Linked DNA regions of Nothobranchius furzeri. The main gene of each other region encodes a partner of the protein of the gene in region 2 in a complex. Links are inferred from orthologs where the notes say so. Each region holds a gene or a part of one and is shown on either strand. Other genes may lie near its edges.

Region 1 (5,744 bases), on a different chromosome or scaffold from region 2:
CCCCCCCCCCACACACACACACACACACACACCAACCTGTGGTTTAATCATCTGCCTTGAGTTGCTTCTAAAACATCTTTGATTTTTTTTCTTCGCCCAGACGCCATAAATAGTGCTGATGGGTAGAAAGAAAATGTTGCCATGGTGACACGGCGCTATGGCAGCTGGTAATTATTCTGGTTTAAGTGCCAGCAGATACACACACACACACAAGCTGGTACACAGCAGAAGATAGTGACACCTTGACACAAGCTTCACCAGACGAGGTCGAACGAGTGATTCATCCACTTGTCATTGAATATCAGGCAAGAATTTGGACGCCATTTAGTTCTGATTTCTGCCGAGTCATTTTAAATACTGGGTCTGGTGATCTTTAATTAGATCGGTGTAAATTGAAGATTTTTGTGCAAAAGGATCAGTAGACAGGTTTAAAAAGAGGGAACTTTGAATCTAACATTTGGATTTCTCTTTTTTCCCTCCAAGGAAATCCAGCCTGTTTACGTATTAGATGAACATTCTACAAACAGGTTTATTCTGAAATGATTGAAATCAAAGATGGTGTTAAACTGTTTTTGGTTGAATCTCCCATGTGATTTTTTGGGGCTGTTACCGCTGAGTAACCGTACTCACATGGAATTGATTTGGGCTCTGCAATTCATTAGATTTGTTGTTCAACTTTTATTTTGTAATTTTTGTCATTAACCTCTTTGAAAGAATGCTTTTATGTTCAGGGTTTCCCCCAGCGCTTTATAAGCCTGGCGGCCCGCCAGGCTTTACTTGGTCACCCGCCAGGCTAGGCGTCATGTCCCGCCCCCCTCCCGACCCTACCGTGTCCTCTGACACGAACGGCGCAACGAAACTAGAGCCCTCCATAAGCTGATACTGGTGAGAAACAGCAGCGGAACGTGTGCCCCCCCCCCAAGACGGCCGAAGGTTTAACTCATTTTCTGGGGGAAACCCTGATGTGTTTCTGTCTCCGCCCCTTCTTAGTCATTTCTGGTGGGGTTAAAAAGTCAGCACAAATAAAGATGGAAGAACAAGGGCAAAGCACTGGCGACATAGGATGGACACCAAAATGTGCCTACGTTATATGCAAAAGGATCTCCACGCACCAGAGCAGCTTCTTTCCAGTTTGAACCTCCTGGCTTCCATAGAAACTCTCCTGTTATTAGTTTATTTAATTGGTGACAACACATCCTCCAAATATTTCTTTAGTTCCTAGCCCAGACAAGCCTGACTATTGGCATGTTAAAGGTGACCATATTGATTCTAGTGTGGCCATTAGGCCACCTTTCTCAGTGACCTAGTGGTAGAGTGTCCGCCCTGAGACTGGGAGATCAGGGGTTCGATTCCTGGTCGGGTCATACCAAAGACTTTGAAAAAATGGGACCCAGTGCCTCCCTGCTTGACACTCAGCATTAAGGGGTTGGATTGGGGGGTTAAACCACCAAATGGTTCCCGAGCGCGGCTTGTCTGCAGCTCACCGCTCCCCCAGGGGATGGGTCAAATGCGGAGAATAAATTTTGCACACACACCTGTGTGTGTGACAACTAATGGGACTTTAACTTTAACTTTAAAGTAATACTCAATATTCTAAACAGTTCAACTCTGCCATCTGTTGGTTTCATATGGTAACTGCAGCATCCTTAAATGTAAAGTCTTGAAATTTTAGGTTTTACGTAATCAGACAATAAATAAAAATGTTTAAATTATAAATATCCAACCATACAGGGAAGGAAAACGTTGGTAAAAAGGAACACAGATTATAGTATAAAGTCTGGGGCATATTGCAGAATGCACTTTGCTCCGTGCTTTTGGGTCGTCCTTTGACACTCTTATTTTGAAAAGCAGCACTGCTGCATTTCCAGTGTGTTTTCAGCTGAAAAGGAGGAAGCAATGCAGTGTGATAAAGTAAAAAAAATATTTGTGATTTGGATTTTCTTTCATAATCGTTGGATTTAGAGTAGTTCAAACGAGTTATATGATACAGCTGCAGTGATGTCACTTGGTTATTATATCCTCTCAGTTACATGAGCTAACTGATCAATAAAGTAGATTTGTGTAACCCCCCCCCCCACCCCCCCCCACCCCCCGTGTGTGTGCACCCTTTCTAATTCTATCTTTTTTTCTGCTCTTTTCCAGGCAAGGCCGACCTGACCAACCGTCCCAGGTGTAAAGGTAAGGCCGCGTTCCCCTCTCACCAACTTGCTCACGGTGAAAGCAGCACAAGCTCCCGAGTGTTTTTCCTTTGTTTGTTTCCCATCAGGGAAAACACGCCGACGCTCCAACCCAAACAAGTAATTCGTCTGCAACCTTTGAGGTTTCATTTGGATTCTGCAGCTCAGTGTGATCCGACACACTTCAGCACATCTCCCCCCACCCCCACCCCTCCTCCCCCGGCCCCCACTCCCTTCGGTGGTGTTTGGAGAGTTTTTCAAAACGTTTATTTGTTTGATATTTCTGTAGACCTGCGGTTACAGTCTCACCTCCCTCGCTGTGTCTCACCCACGTCCCCCTCTCCGTTTCCCATAAATCAGCCGAGATAACATCAGGGGTACAGTGGAGCCCAACTTCAGCTGTCTGAGGCAGACGTGAGGAGGTTTCTGATGCTGTGGCTCTGAAACAAGGCTCTGATGTGAGGGCCACTGCAGCAGACTTGTCTGCACTGCAGCCGGTCTCTTTCTCTGCTATGCCCTGCCACCTGCTGGCCACGTCTGGTAAAGGCACTCAGCTCCAGTGGGTTTGAAAAGCTGTTTGGCCTCAAAAAGTTGAAAGAAAGGGATTTTATCCTGAGTTAAGAGACTATCTGGGTGGTTAGGTAGAGTTTAGGTCATTTAAGAAAGCTATAAAACATTGGTATATATATGATATATTAATATACCTTTTTTTAAACAGCATATGAAGTCAGCTTTTACATTGAAAGAGTAGAAGTAACATGGCTGTGTTCCATTTCTACAGATGTGAGTTTTGTTTGTGCAAAAGCAGAACACCACCCTAAATGGAATGCGGCCTCCTTTAACGCACCTGTGCTTTTTCTGCTATTTCTCATCAGATTGTCTGCTGTGGACCAGGATTTAGAGCCTGTCTGACATGTTTGACTTTTATGACATCATCATAACATCATAAACACACTTTCCTTTACTTATTTAGTGGTTTGCATGACTTCCATCATTTCAAAGGAAACCATCAGAACAATTTTGGTGTTGAATTTAAAACGAGAAAGTCTTGTCTCAGTGATGTTACCCAGAGTTCCTTTGGAAAAAGGATCTGAAAATCACTGAAGGTTTGTGTTTTGTCCTCAGCTGCTACCTGTCCGATGTCCTCTCCCCACACTGTGTGATGTGTCATGGCTCCGGTGTTGAGTGGAGATTGGTGGTCGGGGACGGCGGACACTAATGGCGGCGTGTTGTGGCTGGGGAGTGAGCAGCTGGTGTCTGTTGTCTCCCTCGGCGTTCTCACCGGTTTGCTGCTGGCATCCATGCTGCTGCTGCTGTGTGCCAGCTGCAAGGGGTGAGCTTCACACACACACACACACACACACACACACACACACACACACACACACACACACAAGCACAGATTTGTGTATTAAATAGCTGCACATTATTGTTCCGATAACTACAAACAATGTTTCCCATGAAAATAAAAAGATGAGGGCTACTTTAACATGAAAATATTTACAAATAAAATATTAATATCAAAGATTATCTAAAGTATTAAAATGCAAAATAATAATCATTATTAAATGAAAAATATTTATTAAATATGAAAACTTTTATGAAATATAAAAAAACGTTTAAATGCTGTTTTGTGACTAACAGAATAAGACATTTACACAAAGAAATATGTTTAAAATCATGTAAATTCAATGTTAAAAATTACAAGTTCATGGATAAAGTTAAACAAAATTTAAAAACCACACCAAATTTAAATCAAAGGTTCTAAAATCTAAATGAATATAAAATAAAATTACAATATTCCAAAGAACAGATTAGATTTACTTCACTTAAGTTACCAAAAATATATATAATATAAAAAATATATAAATAAAAGATTAATTAAATATGAAATCAAAATACGTTGTTATAAAATTTCAAATACAATTTTATGTATAACTTAAATGTATTATTTACATCAAATAGAAGATTAAATATTTAAATATTTCAGATTTTTTTAAAGATTAATTGTATAAAGTATAAACAAATGACATTAATTATATCAAATAATACATAATATGAAGAAAGAATTAAAATCAAGATTACAAAAACTGCAGTAACATGTTAATGCAACCATTTCCAAATACGAAACAACGAAAAGTCTTTTTTCCATTTTTGTTTGTCTTGCTGCTCATGCACGTTTGTACATAACATTTTTAAACATAAGTTAGATTCTTTAGCAGTTTTTCTATTTACTCCTTAAACTAAACCAATATGTTGTTTTTTGTATTGCATCTAAAGGATTTATAACAATACATGTCCTACATGCTTTCAAACCGTTTTTAACATTCTCAGGTAATCATTGAGCGTTTTTGTGCTTAACCTGATTAAAAGTTTACTTTTAACATACAGCAGGTACCTTTAATTTAAACCCTTTTGACTCCCTTAAAAGAGAAATATGTTTGTGTATATTTTTCCAGACACCCAAGCATTAAATTATATAAAAAATAACAAAATATTATGAAATTTATGCAGCTTGAATACCACTCTCCAAATCTTTCATCTGTCACTGTAAATGTGAATTTTTTGTTTGTTTTTATTATGAAATTAATAAAAGAAATACTAAGGGTGGAACTTAATTAAAAAATGAATATAATTAATCAGAGGCTTTGTTATAATTAATCTAGATTAATCGCATTTTAATCGTTCAAGAAAATTTGTCCCCATATTGTTTTCTAATTAACTAATCATTAATAATGCACAATTAACCCCTAAAAAAGACTCTTTTAGTGTGAAATACACCCTGAAACCAAAAGTGTGAGTAGCGAGTTACTCTGGATGGTATCGGATTAAATCACCTCCTGAAGGACAAAGCCGTGTCCACGTTAGAAACTACACAGATTAATTTCTGTGTGATCACCCATTTCTCATTGATCTTAATTCTCTCTTTTAGGGAGAAGAAAGCAGCAAATGGACACCCGGGTGGAGACCAGCTGAACCTCGTGAACGGAGTGAGTCGTGGGTCACAGAAACGTGTGTTTAATATGATCTGATCGTCGTGGCTGGTATCCAGTCAGGCGAGTCTAAAGAAAAGAATAATCTGTGTTTATGGAGTTGACCTCGGCCCTCTCTGCTCATAACGACGAGCCATAAACGAACACGGCGTCCTTCTGAACACAATGTCAGGGCAAAGGCAGCCATTACCCACCGCCATAATATTGACGCTCCAGTGACCAGACGGAGAGTTGTGTAGTCTCTTATCTTTCCAACTCTGTGAGGTTTTTCTTATTTGATTGATATCTTTACTGTAACCTTGTGCTTCTGCGTAATTTGCTGCCTCGCCGAGTTGTTGCAGGAGGTGCCCATTTGTATGACAGACCATGTCACCGTCTGACAGGGTAAATGGGGGTCTTTGTCTCCGAGCGAGAGCAGATCCATCCAGGAACTGTCCCCCACTCATCAGTCATTTTTAAAAACACTTATTTCTGGCTTTGCGTAAAATAAAAGTGACATTTTAATGCAGTTTGAAATCAGGATGGTGTTAAACCATCTAGTTATGTTTATGAGGACTTTAGGTTGTAATGAGGA
Region 2 (5,744 bases):
GGAGTGGTTCTCTCATCTTTCTGGGTGCTCCTTCTCTGTGGCCGTCTCCAAGTTTAGGTCCTCCACCACCTCTCTTACCCATGGTGTCCCACAAGGTTCTGTGCTGGGACCTCTGCTCTTCCTCCTCTATCTGCTTCCTCTTCAGCACATCCTGAGCTCCTTCAAAGGAATCTCCTACCATCTTCACGCAGATGACATCCAACTGTACATCTCCTTCAAACCCCATGAGAGGTCTAAGCTGCAGCTGTTACACACCTGCTTGGACTCTATCAAAACCTGGATGGCTGGGAGCTTTCTTCAGCTGAATGAAGATAAGACTGAGATCCTCATCTGTGCCCCAGACAAGCTGGTTCCCAAAGTCAGAGACACTCTTGGTCAGCTTGCTTCTCACACCAAACTTTCTGTCAGGAATCTTGGTGTGACCTTTGACCCAGCTCTCACCCTTGATTCTCATGTCAGTTCTCTTGTTCGCTCTTCCTTCTTCCATCTCAGGAACATTGCTAAGCTGAGTCCCATTCTGTCTCGCTCTGAACTTGAGACAGTTCTCCACACCTTCATCTCCTCACGCTTAGACTACTGTAACTCTCTTTTCACGTGTCTGAGCAGAACCTCCCTGAACCGTCTACAGGTGGTTCAGAATGCCTGTGCTCGGCTTCTGACCAAGTCCTCCAAACACACCCTCATCACCCCGCTTCTCCTCCAGCTTCACTGGCTGTTAAGCAACTTCAGGGTTCATTTTAAGATCCTGGTTCTGGTCTTTAAGGCCTTACATGGACAAGCACCATCATACATTGGTGATCTTCTTAGTCCCTACAACCCCAGCAGTAGGGTTGGGCATTGTTTGATTTTGAACGATTCCGATTCCAATTCCTCTTTTCGGTTCCGGTTCTTATCGATTCCCGCTTCCGATTCTTTCAAGACATGACATGCTTTACATGAGCCAGCTAACCACAGGTCCTACTTGTTGAAATAATCTTAACTTCAACATGAATTTTAATTCTATGAACGATAACATCACCTTCATTTAGACAGAAACATGTTTTGGAGAAAAAAGAAAAAGACTTGCAGCACAACCAGTGTGTTTGTTTCTGACCACAACCAAAGTCTGGAAGAAGCCTCTGGGATGAGGCTAAATGTCTCCAACATATCCAGAAACGTCCAGCTGTTTTCAGCTACAACTCTCAGGATGATCATGTCCAGGATGACTGAGAACTACACCTCCATGCTGCAGCAGCGTTCAGTCAGAACAGGAAGTGAAGCTTAAATGTAGCTGCTGACAGTAACAATCTAACAGATTTTAAACATTAAAACTCAACAGAAATTGTTCAGAAAGGAAATTAAAATGTTCACAACTTTGTGTGTGATTTATTATTATTATTATTATTATTATTATTATTATTATTATTGTTTATTGTGGCAGAAGCTGGTGTGGTCCACCACAGAGAAGCTGCTCCAGCATGATGACTTTAATTATTCTACAGGTTATTGTTCAGCCTTCTGACGCTCACGTGTTTTTATTTCTGCAGTGAGACGATCACCTCACACCGTCCAGAGTTTGTTCTTTAAAGCTTCTATTAAATCCACCGTGTTGACGTATTTTAACAAGTTTCCTCTATGCTGCAGGAGTTAAAAGTTTACATTACAGAGTAGAAGTTTGGCAGACGTGTTTGTTTATATCCGGATGAGGGAGGGAGGGGGGACTCGTGCTGCTCACAGACAGCTGGTGTGATCAGCTCTGAAAAGCATTGATCACAATTTGCAGATCACGTTTATTTTTCACGGAGATCGGCAGCGGATTTCTCTTCCGTCTGCACATTAGGAATCGGAATAAAAATGTTGTGCAATTCTGGGAAAAATGAACAGTTGGAACAGGTTACAATCAATGCTCGATTCTCGATGCCCAACCCTACCCAACAGGTCCCTGAGGTCCAGTGATCAAAGCCTACTGGTTGTGCAGCACCAGGCTAAAGACCAAAGGTGACAGATCATCTGCTGCTGTGGCCCCCAGACTCTGGAACTCTCTCCCCCTGAGCCTGAGATCAGTGGACTCAGTGGTCTCCTTTAAAAAGCAGCCGAAGACTCACTTGTTCAGGCTGGTTTTGGTGTGACCTTCATCATCCTCTCCTTGTTCTGCTCTCCCTACCTATTCCACCTTCCTCAGGATCCACTGATTTTCCTCTTTCCTATTTGCTCTCTCTCTTTCTTTACATTTTTTTATCACAATTGTCTATTTTCGCTTATTTTAAATATATTTTTAATCATTTTCTAAATAATTTTTTATATTTTACATTTTTTTGTTTTTGTGAAGCGCCTCGTGATTTCTATCTTGAGAGGCTATAGAAATTATATTTTCTACTTCTTCTTAAATGTTCAATTCTGCTGGTTTGCAGGGTTTTTATTGCTACTGAGACTTTAAACAGCAAAATTTGAGCTGTAAAATAATTGTCTTTGACCATTTTCTGCACTCCTAAAACACTTTAGTTGCCAACAAAGGGCTTCTGTATAACAGAAATAAGTCCTGTCCATGTTTTTTGCAACATAATTTTGTATTAACCTCTTCACACTAGATATGTGGTTTCATATTAATTTTCCTAACACTTAGCTTTGTGTGCACACGGCATCAGTATGGCTGCAGATTTATCTTCATGAAGTTATTTCTGATCAGTCATACTAAAAATGAAACCTATTATTCATGTGCAGACGCAAGCACGCAGAAACCCATCACGTGGGAAAACGAGGAGATTTTCAAGATTACTTTTGTCTGAAATAGAAAAGAAACAACAGGAAGCTGTGCAGAGTTCATGCAAAGCTGAGGCGGAGGCAGATTACAATTGCACTGCAATTACAACACTGCGGTCTCCATTCACACAACTGGAGCATCTCTGCCATGCCAAACAGGCTGTTTAAATGTAAGAAGTTTAAATCCTCTCCACACTTACGGCATTAGACTCAATTTCCCTCCAGATTTCACACCTTCTCTTTTCTGAACATAGTTGGCTGGAATAGTTCCCTCGCGGCCTGCAGAGTTTTTTGCTTGGTACCAGTTTGGATCCTGCAACACAAAGTGTCAACAATAACTAGAATAATTTTTTTAAATCATAATTTCAATAATTTTTCCACCACTTTGAATTGTTTCTGCGTAAACAATGAATAATCACCAGTTTTAAACAACCTCTGTTCAACGTAATGAAGTTAATGGACTGATGAGCTAACGGCTAGTGATCTTTAGATACAAACACACTTCTAAATAGCTGCAACGTTCTTTAATAAGGAAGTTGTACTTTAAATTTGAAAGGGAATTAAAAACATTGGTAAAGCTGGGGTAAGTATTTTAAAATTTTTAATTTTTAAATTAGACCAACTGACCCTGTTCTATGACGGAGAGTGGTTCATCTTTTATAATAAACATTCCCCTTAAGTCCCTCCTCTGGTCTTTACAACAAAACTATTAATTTACGTAAGCCTAGAGCGTTGACCAGTAGATTTGTGTCTCCATATGAGGGAGCTGTCAATCAGCGAGAAAGCACCCCAGTCCCCAGAGTACATTAGAGTGATGCAGGAAGATGATGGAGCTCTGGAATGGAGCAACTTAAACAAGGATCCAAGTCACCAATTCCTAGGCCGCCTTCTCCGTTTCAAAGAAAATGTCAACAGACTTTCTCTGAGATTTTTACAAAAGTGGAGTAGAATTAACATTGGAGAAGTTTTCAAAAGATGGAGGGAGCTTGGTGATTTACAAGGACTCAAAACAGATAAAGAGTTGCCAAAAGCCTCTTTTGGAAAACAATGCTGCCAAGCTGGTATGAGGAAGGTGTTCAAGCTCCAGCTCTAAATCATCTCCAGGTGGTTCAGAACGCTGCAGCCAGGTTCCTGACAAACACTTGCAGGCATTCCCACATCACTCCTGTTCTGGAACATCTGCATTGGTTACCTGTAAACTTACGAGTCATGTTCAAGCTCCCGACATTTTTTAAGATTTTGAAAGGCTCTGCCCCAGGATATCTCTCCGCCTTGATCAATCCCTATGTGCCAAATCGGGCTCTGAGGTCAGCTGACTTTCTGTTGCTCAATGTACCATCGATGAGATATAAATCGCAGGGTGAGCGAGCTTTCATGTTTGCTGCCCCCACTTTATGGAATGCCCTCCCACTCTCAATCGGGCAGGCTCCCTCCCTCTCTTGTTTTAAATCAGTTTGAAAGACTTATTTTTATGAAATGGCTTTCTTCCATTGCTGACGTTTTCTTGTTTTATTCTTGTTGTTGCTGTGTTTAACTCATGCTGTTTTTATCCTTGTACTTGTATAGCACTTTGGTCAGCTGACATGCTGTGTTTTTAAATGTGCTTTATAAATAAATGGTATGGTATAAGCTTTAGTTGCCGCCAAGGCGCGTTCATAAGACACACCGTGGCGGCGGTATTACGCCGATTTGCTGACACGGTGTGTCTTCTAAAAAGGGCTAAAGTTTCTACTGGACATGTAGATCCTAAGTAGTTTAGAGAATTGTAATCAAAATTTTATTTGGATAAAATAATACTGAAGATAATTGTTGTATGCTGTGTTAGGCTAATATGGTGCTATCTTGAATGCTAACTCGACCCGCATTGAATTAATGTCAGTCTGTACGCTTCAAGCTAATAGTGAAAGAGGAGGGAAGGGAATAAAAAAGTATTTTTTTTCTGTGTATAGTGGAGCCAAGTGATTAGTGTAGCATTCAACCTTGTGCTTCATCAGACTAGTGTATAGCTCTTTCTGTCAACACATTCTCACACCCAAGGCGTCAAAATATGACGCGTGACCAAGCCTCAATATATGACAATTCGGGACGCCCCGGCGCGTCAGGAGACGACGATCAGGGACACGCTGGGTCACGTGGCTCCACTGGCGTCACTGTTTGACACGCGCGGTCACACAGACATTATTTGACTATTTAACCTTCCCCTCACCCCAATCCTAACCTTAAGGTCCATAAACTGTGACCTTAAGGTTAGGATTGGGGTGAGGGGAAGGTTAAGTAGTTCACAAGTAGTTCCAATGTCCGTCTCACCACCGGCGTTGGTTACCGACGCTCTGGGACGCTGCGTCAGCTGTTTGTCCCTGATCGTCGTCTTCTGACGCGCTGGGGCGTCCCGAATCGTCATATATTGAGGCTTGATCACACGCGTCATATTTTGACGCCTTGGGTGTGAGAATGTGCATGCGCGTAGTAGGAGGCATCTCTCCTTGAAAACATCACACCACGGAAAACAGCTTTGAGCTCATCCAATGCATGCTCAAATAAAACAATTACTTTTGTGACAACGATGATTGTCAAAATGTCTCCTTTGTTAAACGGCAGGTCCTGCTCCGATGTGCCGAGGAAGTTGTACCTGGCCACACACTCTGTGCCCTGCGGCCATGGACTCTAAAACGACATGGGTGAATCACCTTTTAGAAAAATACAAAAAAAAAAAAAAAGCTGTAAATATTCATTTTTGTCCCCCACCACTCCAGAAGTTGATCTTACCTGGACCTCAGTCATAATGAGGTGCTTGAAGCCTCTCACTGGTGAGATATTCCTGCTGCTACCATCAGAGCTAGTGAAACACACACGCACACACACGCGCACACACACACACACAGAACCTAAAGAAGGAAACGGAATATGAGTAAAAGCTTTCAAGCCACAAGCAAATCATCAAGAAGACATTTCATTTATTAGTTTTGTGATCATTTAAAACAATCAGATCAGTTTCTATCAGAATG

What was found. The genes of interacting proteins can lie anywhere in the genome.
Region 1: the proteins of tyrosine-protein kinase CSK (region 2) and pag1 are in contact, whole or in part, in an NMR structure (PDB 2RSY), measured with the Rattus norvegicus proteins. The link is inferred for Nothobranchius furzeri from reciprocal best matches to the Homo sapiens genes CSK and PAG1. Residues at the interface, in NP_001025210.1 of Rattus norvegicus: Thr88, Arg89, Glu93, Arg107, Ser109, Thr110, Asn111, Tyr112, Thr117, Cys122, Glu123, Lys125, Val126, Glu127, His128, Tyr129, Arg130, Ile140, Asp141, Tyr156, Asp161, Gly162; in NP_071589.1 of Rattus norvegicus: Phe291, Ser292, Leu294, Tyr296, Lys297, Ser298, Arg299, Glu300, Glu301, Leu305, Ile310, Met313, Tyr314, Ser315, Ser316, Val317, Asn318, Lys319.

Annotation. Positions count from the first base shown.
Region 1 is NC_091759.1:682,853-688,596, reverse strand, and holds part of pag1 (phosphoprotein associated with glycosphingolipid-enriched microdomains 1), read left to right. Parts: intron 1-2,142; 5' UTR 2,143-2,178; intron 2,179-2,266; 5' UTR 2,267-2,297; intron 2,298-3,302; 5' UTR 3,303-3,346; coding exon 3,347-3,510; intron 3,511-5,109; coding exon 5,110-5,167; intron 5,168-5,744. UniProt on the Homo sapiens protein: Negatively regulates TCR (T-cell antigen receptor)-mediated signaling in T-cells and FCER1 (high affinity immunoglobulin epsilon receptor)-mediated signaling in mast cells.
Region 2 is NC_091744.1:58,976,527-58,982,270, forward strand, and holds part of tyrosine-protein kinase CSK, read right to left. Parts: intron 5,625-5,744; 5' UTR 5,521-5,624; coding exon 5,506-5,520; intron 5,404-5,505; coding exon 5,290-5,403; intron 3,053-5,289; coding exon 2,940-3,052; intron 1-2,939. UniProt on the Homo sapiens protein: Non-receptor tyrosine-protein kinase that plays an important role in the regulation of cell growth, differentiation, migration and immune response.